2 linked regions of the Arabidopsis thaliana genome follow. The protein of the gene in region 2 interacts with the protein of the main gene of each other region in a biochemical or structural test. Each region holds a gene or a part of one and is shown on either strand. Other genes may lie near its edges.

Region 1 (3,757 bases), on a different chromosome or scaffold from region 2:
CCATCATCTCTCACAAGAACGTTCTCGGGTTTCAGATCACGGTAAATGATCCCAAGCATGTGTAAATATTCCATTGCAAGAAGCACTTCCGCGACATAAAACCTGCAAAACAGCAAGTCACTAAGGTTATATAAACGCACAAAACTAGATTCTTAGATAAAGAAAGTTTAGAAAAAGTTTCTTACTTAGCTGCTTGCTCGGTGAAGCGTTTCCCGGGTTGTCTCTGCCTTAGTGTATGCAAATCACCACCAGGACAAAACTCCATCACCAAACAAGAGAACTTCTCTGTCTCAAAATGACTATACAAAGTCGGAAGAAACGGGTGATCAAGACACTGCAATATCTCTCTTTCAGTTTGAGCCCTAAGAAGCTTTTTCCGGCTAGCCAAAGCAGTTTTATCCATAACCTTCATCGCAAAATAACACCTAGTTCCATTCAACTCAGCAAGATGAACAGTTCCAATATCTCCACATCCTAACCTCTTCAAGAGCCTAAAATGATTCAAACCCAAACCACCATGTTTAGTTCTAACAGCTTGAATAGCTTCCCATCTCACATCATTAGCCTTGTGAGGTTTGTTGATACTGCTACTAAAGCTGCTACAAGTGCTCTCATCGCTTATATCACTGCTTGTACTTGGTCTACAAGTGCTACTCTTTCCACTCTCACCTTGCTCGTTGATCTTACTATTACCGGTTTTGCCATCACTACTTGGATCAGCGAAAGACAAACTCGAAGATACTTGATCTGCTAAAGTGTTGATTGACATACTTTGACTGGAATTGGTAAGTGATCCTTCTGGAGTTTTTGAAGCCATCATTAACACAGAGCAATCTTAAACACCAATTCCTTCTTCCCTGAGATTTAAAGAACTTGTCTTTACTCTCTAGTAATCAATACTGTCACAGATTCCATCAACGAGTGGCCTGATCTATAGTCATCAAAACAAAACAATAGCATCAGTTTAAAGCTGGATTGAGAAGACTCAGAAACAACAATCACGGATCTTACTACAGATGAAAGTTTAAGTAGATGCACAAAATTTTACCCAAATTGAAATATCAAATCTAAGTGACAAATCAATTAAAGCTCTTCATGCAAAAAGTTTGGATTTTTATTTTGAGTCTTTAAGGGTAAAAACAGATCTCGTTAAAGTAAAGAAGAAGAAGAGGCAAAATAAAGAACTTTTGGATCTAGCAAGAATCAGAGAATAAAACCCAGAAAAAGAAGAAATAAAAAGAACAGAGCTTTAGAGAGAGAGAGAGAGAGAGAGAGAGACCCAATAAATCGTTACCTGAAAGTGAAGATTTTTGAGCGATAAAGATCACGAGATACCCTTTTCGAAGCAAAGGGAAGGAGAAGTAGAAGAAAAAAGGAAGGAGAGGGAAAGAGAGAGAACAGTCACTGTTCATGTAAGGCTGTAGAGAGAGAAAGAGATGTAAGAACACATCTGCTTGCTTCCATGGAAATGGGGATAGATAGAGAGAGGGAGAGAGAGGAGAGAGTGTTGTTAAGAGAGAGAGAGAATTGGGTCTACCATGAAAAGAGGGAAGAGGAGAGAGAGGGTCAAATAAAAAGTTGAATACTTTTTTTTATTTTTTTTATTTTGAGGGAATTTCAATTATTTCAATGTATTTTTTTTTGTTTTCTCCAAAATGGAAGACATATGTTTACATCAAGAATGCTCTCGCGAGCTGTTAATAATTTTAGGCTTTTTAGGGCAACCAAATTTTTATTGATACATGTTATTGTATATTTCCTACATGTTTACTTTATATTTTGATTTTCTAAATAATTGTCTATAGAAATTTTTATATATATTTACCAAAAAAATTCCTTTTTGATTCTTTAAATTATTAAACACATCAATTTAAATTATTAAAATTCAACATTCTTATCTTTCATCTATTCTCATGAATCTGTCATGTGCCTTTTACTTGATGATAAAAAAAATTGATGTTTACCTCTATGCATAAATTTATGGATTTTACATATTTAGCTTAAGTTTTCACACGAGTTTTTCAGTTTAGCAATTCTAAGTAAGAACTATTGTGAATGCACATTTTTGTTAGAAGGACAATCCCATATGCGTGCCACCAAACTATAATTTTCTGTTTTATTTATGCGGTTTGGAAAACATCGTCCTAAGCGTATGTTTTCGTCATCATGCAGCATCTTCGGAAGTTTCTTCTTGTGTTCTAATGGGTGAAACTTGAGGCATTAAATGAACATTAGCGCATACCATATCACAAAGAGTTTTGCATCTTTTCGGATTGCCAATAGATGATAAATCTTATAAGCTGAATGAAGACATAACAATAGATATTTTATATCTCGATTTCTTTTGTTATCAATTCCATTTACATCCAGTGTTCATCCAATTTTATGGTCGAAATAATACTTTCTAAAAGCTTGTTAGCATCCGTCAAACATTCTGTTTTCAAATTTTTAGTGAAAGTTTTTGTCATTTACCAAAATCAATAAAAAAAAATCTTTTAAGTTTTTAAAAATAACTAAACATTCCAAAATTGTATAAACCTTTAAAAAATTTCCCTAATAACAAATACGTAAATTGGTCATGTGTATTAATTTTATTTTATTTTTTTACTAAACACACCAAACAATTATTTAAAATTAGACTCACCATTGTTTGAAACTTGAGAGTTCCAAAAGATGCCCCTAAAACTTTTCAGCAAATTCTTATTTATTGCCCAATAATAAGTTTCCTTAGATTCTAAGATTATATTTCATGTATTTTATTTTTTTTCCCCCACATTTAAATCGAACAGAAACAATGTTTTTTTAGAAATGGTTCAACAGGTAGTTGACAAACCAGAAGATTGTTCAACATAAAAGAACACAAGTGGGTATAATTTGTTCATTTCCTCATATCTCAAATAATTCATATTTTAACCTCATGCTCTTATTAGATCCAATTACTGCGTCAATTTTTAATCGAGAAGCTCAGATCCAATAACGACAATTGCTACACGATCGGCTTGTGACGTGAAACGCGAGTGGGGAATCTTTCTTCATTATAATCCCATTTCTTTAGGTTAAAAATACTGCAATAATAACAAAATAAAAGGTTTAGTTTATTAAAATGTTTTGTTTACCATGATACTTGAGGGATTAAGGTTTCTAAGTTTCTTCATTACAATTTAAATCATAGCTGGACACTGTCACTAAGGATGCTTTAACATTTAAATGGTAAGAATATCCATTTTTATACAAGTTTCTAGGTTTACTCTTAGATTTAGATCGAGTCCTCTCAAAGTCTTAATTATATTATTTTCTTAACAAATTCATAGAGATTCAATGGTTAAAAGATTTATCGTGAAAATTAAAGATTCGAGTGTTCCTACAATGAGATTAATCATTATTGGTGGTAGTTGTGAATGCTTTAAATAGCAAAAATACCTAGTTCTTTTATGTCCAAAAAAACTAGTTTTTTTTTTTTGGTAAGCTCCAAAAAAACTAGTTTAGAGTTTGGTTTAGATCTCTTTGTTGTAACTTATAAATATAATGATAGAGATTTCTATTTATTATCAATCAAAACAACTTCTACACGCAAATTCGTTTACCTAATATTTTTTAATATTTTAATGTTCTTTCCAGTTTTGTTTTTGTTTCACTAAAGTCAGCCAAAATAATTCAATTATGATGGGCATATTATAAAAAAAATTACAGTAATTTTGTTCTTTATTTCCAATAATATGTCATATACTGTACACTTGTTTTCAGTTAATTTCTGTTT
Region 2 (3,757 bases):
TTTCCCGTTTCAAGTGTTTGCTAAAAGATCAATTTTAATTTTCTCGTTTCAAGTATTTGCTAAAAGGTCATCCATCACCCATAACCATAAGTCAAGCCGTGCAAACATAGAGTATTAGAAAAAACGTTAATTTGAGTTCAATATTACACAAAGTCGCAGTTGTAACAAGGATTTGCACAACAAAAGATTGAAAGATTAATGGATTAGTGACAAATAATTTGAAAGATCCAAAATATCATTAACTATATGGAATGTGAAAAAATCCTGCAATTTTTTTTTTTTTTTTGCCGTGTTAAAAATTCAATTCTTTCAAAGAACCAATTTTAAAATTATTTGTCAGTAAAAAAAAATAGAAACTACTTGATTTATAATTTTTAATAGAAAAATGATGTTAAGTCATCAACTCTTTTATTTTTTCGTAACTTCTCAACATATTTACTTTATTCGGATTGCATAACCTACTTTTTTTGTGTGTATAGTCTCTTTAAGCGCAAGAAATGGCAAGGAAAGTCGAATTATATTAGTACTATATATTATTATTATGCTTAAAAAAAAGTTGAAAACATTGGAAAAATAAAAAGCTGGAAAGAAAAAAAAAAGAAGAACTGTGTTTGTATGGGATGATGAGAAAAATGAAGAGCAGACTGTTGATGGAATATTGTGTTTCCTCAAATATCAACACTCCTCATTATATCATCAACCCATTGCTTTTTGTACGGACTTTATTAGTAGTATTAAAGAACACATCAGACTGATTTGTGTAAGCAAACCAGAACCACCCTCTTTTCAACATTTTTCTTTCAAAAAACTTCTACGTATTTATGTTCAATAAAACTTTGTTACTAATTTTCTCAACGAAATATATTTTATAAAACTTTGTTAGTAATGTTATACAGTAAACAGTAAAAGAAAATAAGTTCCAAGATGAGCGATCAAAGGATTGAATAGTTCATAAATAATTCGTATGCGCAACTACAACTGTAAATGATAACCTATGCAATGATAACTCACACACACCCATCTCACATGAAAAAGTGATTTCGACCTTATGTTAGTGATATCACATCTTTTCTTTTATCTCCACCCACAAAGTCTTTGGTTAGGAACTAGTTTGTTCAATTGCAACCATTTTTCCAAAGACTTTCAACCTCTCTTCGGAGAAGACTTCTATCTTTAAAACCAAAATTTTCTAAGTTCATATAAACATCAAATCGAGCCTTATATCATCACTTCAATGTGTATTTATCTTCTGTTGTGATTTATCAATTGAAAGTCAATACCAAAAATCCCATCATACTAATCACAATAATTTATAGCAAAAATAAATTTAACAATTTTTAAACATGGTAAAAATATAAATTTAATAATTAGTATAGGGGATAAATTGATCAACCGAATAGATTAATTCATAATTTGAAAAGGCCAAAAAAAAAAGAGAGAGGCAAAAACAGAGGCTCTGCTTTGGACTCCGCAAAGCGCACAAGGCCGCCTCTTTCACTATCCCCAAAGCTCCACCACGCACCCATCAACCACCATTTTTATTTCGTTTTTATTACATTCAAAAAAACTTCTTTTTGTCGTATTTCAATCAAAATTACATCACACACACTATTATGTTGGAATGTTTAACAAAACAAATAAATATGTTGAGCTATTCCAATTTTACATTTAATGTTTTTTTACTCCTACACGTAAACTACTTTTGAATATAATATCTAGAAACTAACCAAATAATCGAAAACGAAAATAATAAAATCAGCAAACAGTTTTAGCTTCATTAACAAAATATATATATGTTTAATTAAAAAATATGGTATTTTCTCAACGGACAAAAAAATAAAATAAAAAGAATATAAAAATGTGGTCTCTTCTCAACACTCACTTTACTCTTTTTTCCCTCTTCACCACTTCTCTCTCAAACTAAAGACAAAAGCTCTTCTCTCTTCCCTCTCTCTTCTCCGGCGAACAAAAGATGATTACGGCGGCGGACTTCTACCACGTTATGACGGCTATGGTTCCGTTATACGTAGCTATGATCCTCGCTTACGGCTCTGTCAAATGGTGGAAAATCTTCACACCAGACCAATGCTCCGGCATAAACCGTTTCGTCGCTCTCTTCGCCGTTCCTCTCCTCTCTTTCCACTTCATCGCCGCTAACAACCCTTACGCCATGAACCTCCGTTTCCTCGCCGCAGATTCTCTCCAGAAAGTCATTGTCCTCTCTCTCCTCTTCCTCTGGTGCAAACTCAGCCGCAACGGTTCTTTAGATTGGACCATAACTCTCTTCTCTCTCTCGACACTCCCCAACACTCTAGTCATGGGGATACCTCTTCTCAAAGGCATGTATGGTAATTTCTCCGGCGACCTCATGGTTCAAATCGTTGTTCTTCAGTGTATCATTTGGTACACACTCATGCTCTTTCTCTTTGAGTACCGTGGAGCTAAGCTTTTGATCTCCGAGCAGTTTCCAGACACAGCAGGATCTATTGTTTCGATTCATGTTGATTCCGACATTATGTCTTTAGATGGAAGACAACCTTTGGAAACTGAAGCTGAGATTAAAGAAGATGGGAAGCTTCATGTTACTGTTCGTCGTTCTAATGCTTCAAGGTCTGATATTTACTCGAGAAGGTCTCAAGGCTTATCTGCGACACCTAGACCTTCGAATCTAACCAACGCTGAGATATATTCGCTTCAGAGTTCAAGAAACCCAACGCCACGTGGCTCTAGTTTTAATCATACTGATTTTTACTCGATGATGGCTTCTGGTGGTGGTCGGAACTCTAACTTTGGTCCTGGAGAAGCTGTGTTTGGTTCTAAAGGTCCTACTCCGAGACCTTCCAACTACGAAGAAGACGGTGGTCCTGCTAAACCGACGGCTGCTGGAACTGCTGCTGGAGCTGGGAGGTTTCATTATCAATCTGGAGGAAGTGGTGGCGGTGGAGGAGCGCATTATCCGGCGCCGAACCCAGGGATGTTTTCGCCCAACACTGGCGGTGGTGGAGGCACGGCGGCGAAAGGAAACGCTCCGGTGGTTGGTGGGAAAAGACAAGACGGAAACGGAAGAGATCTTCACATGTTTGTGTGGAGCTCAAGTGCTTCGCCGGTCTCAGATGTGTTCGGCGGTGGAGGAGGAAACCACCACGCCGATTACTCCACCGCTACGAACGATCATCAAAAGGACGTTAAGATCTCTGTACCTCAGGGGAATAGTAACGGTATAGTCCCTCTATAACTTTGTTGTTTTGTTTTCGCACCCTAATTTATTTTCTTTACAAAAACACCCCCAAAATTTCTCTATGTCCTTCGATATTTATGATTTGGTTAAGGGGTTCTTTAATTGTTTACATGTGTTGTTGCCTTACTTTAGACAACCAGTACGTGGAGAGGGAAGAGTTTAGTTTCGGTAACAAAGACGATGATAGCAAAGTATTGGCAACGGACGGTGGGAACAACATAAGCAACAAAACGACGCAGGCTAAGGTGATGCCACCAACAAGTGTGATGACAAGACTCATTCTCATTATGGTTTGGAGGAAACTTATTCGTAATCCCAACTCTTACTCCAGTTTATTCGGCATCACCTGGTCCCTCATTTCCTTCAAGTACTGTTTCAAACTTGTCTTATTTTCACTTTACTTTGGTTTTGGTCTACTATTTTAACCACTTTCTTGATGCATAAAGGGTCAGCCTTGAATGCGTATATGTTTGAAAGTTTTTTCTGATAGATTGAAGTAACAAAAGATTTGAGAAAGAT

What was found. Proteins that work in one complex are often made in the same cells at the same time.
Region 1: of the proteins of PIN1 (region 2) and D6PK, one has a biochemical effect on the other in vitro, tested with the Arabidopsis thaliana proteins (one study listed by BioGRID).

Annotation. Positions count from the first base shown.
Region 1 is NC_003076.8:22,640,815-22,644,571, forward strand, and holds the start of D6PK (D6 protein kinase), read right to left. Parts: upstream 1,601-3,757; 5' UTR 1,295-1,600; exon of another isoform or gene 1,049-1,294; intron 932-1,048; 5' UTR 821-931; coding exon 186-820; intron 103-185; coding exon 1-102.
Region 2 is NC_003070.9:27,657,800-27,661,556, forward strand, and holds the start of PIN1 (Auxin efflux carrier family protein), read left to right. Parts: upstream 1-1,873; 5' UTR 1,874-1,972; coding exon 1,973-3,218; intron 3,219-3,370; coding exon 3,371-3,605; intron 3,606-3,757. UniProt on the Arabidopsis thaliana protein: Acts as a component of the auxin efflux carrier; this activity is enhanced when activated by D6PK-mediated phosphorylation.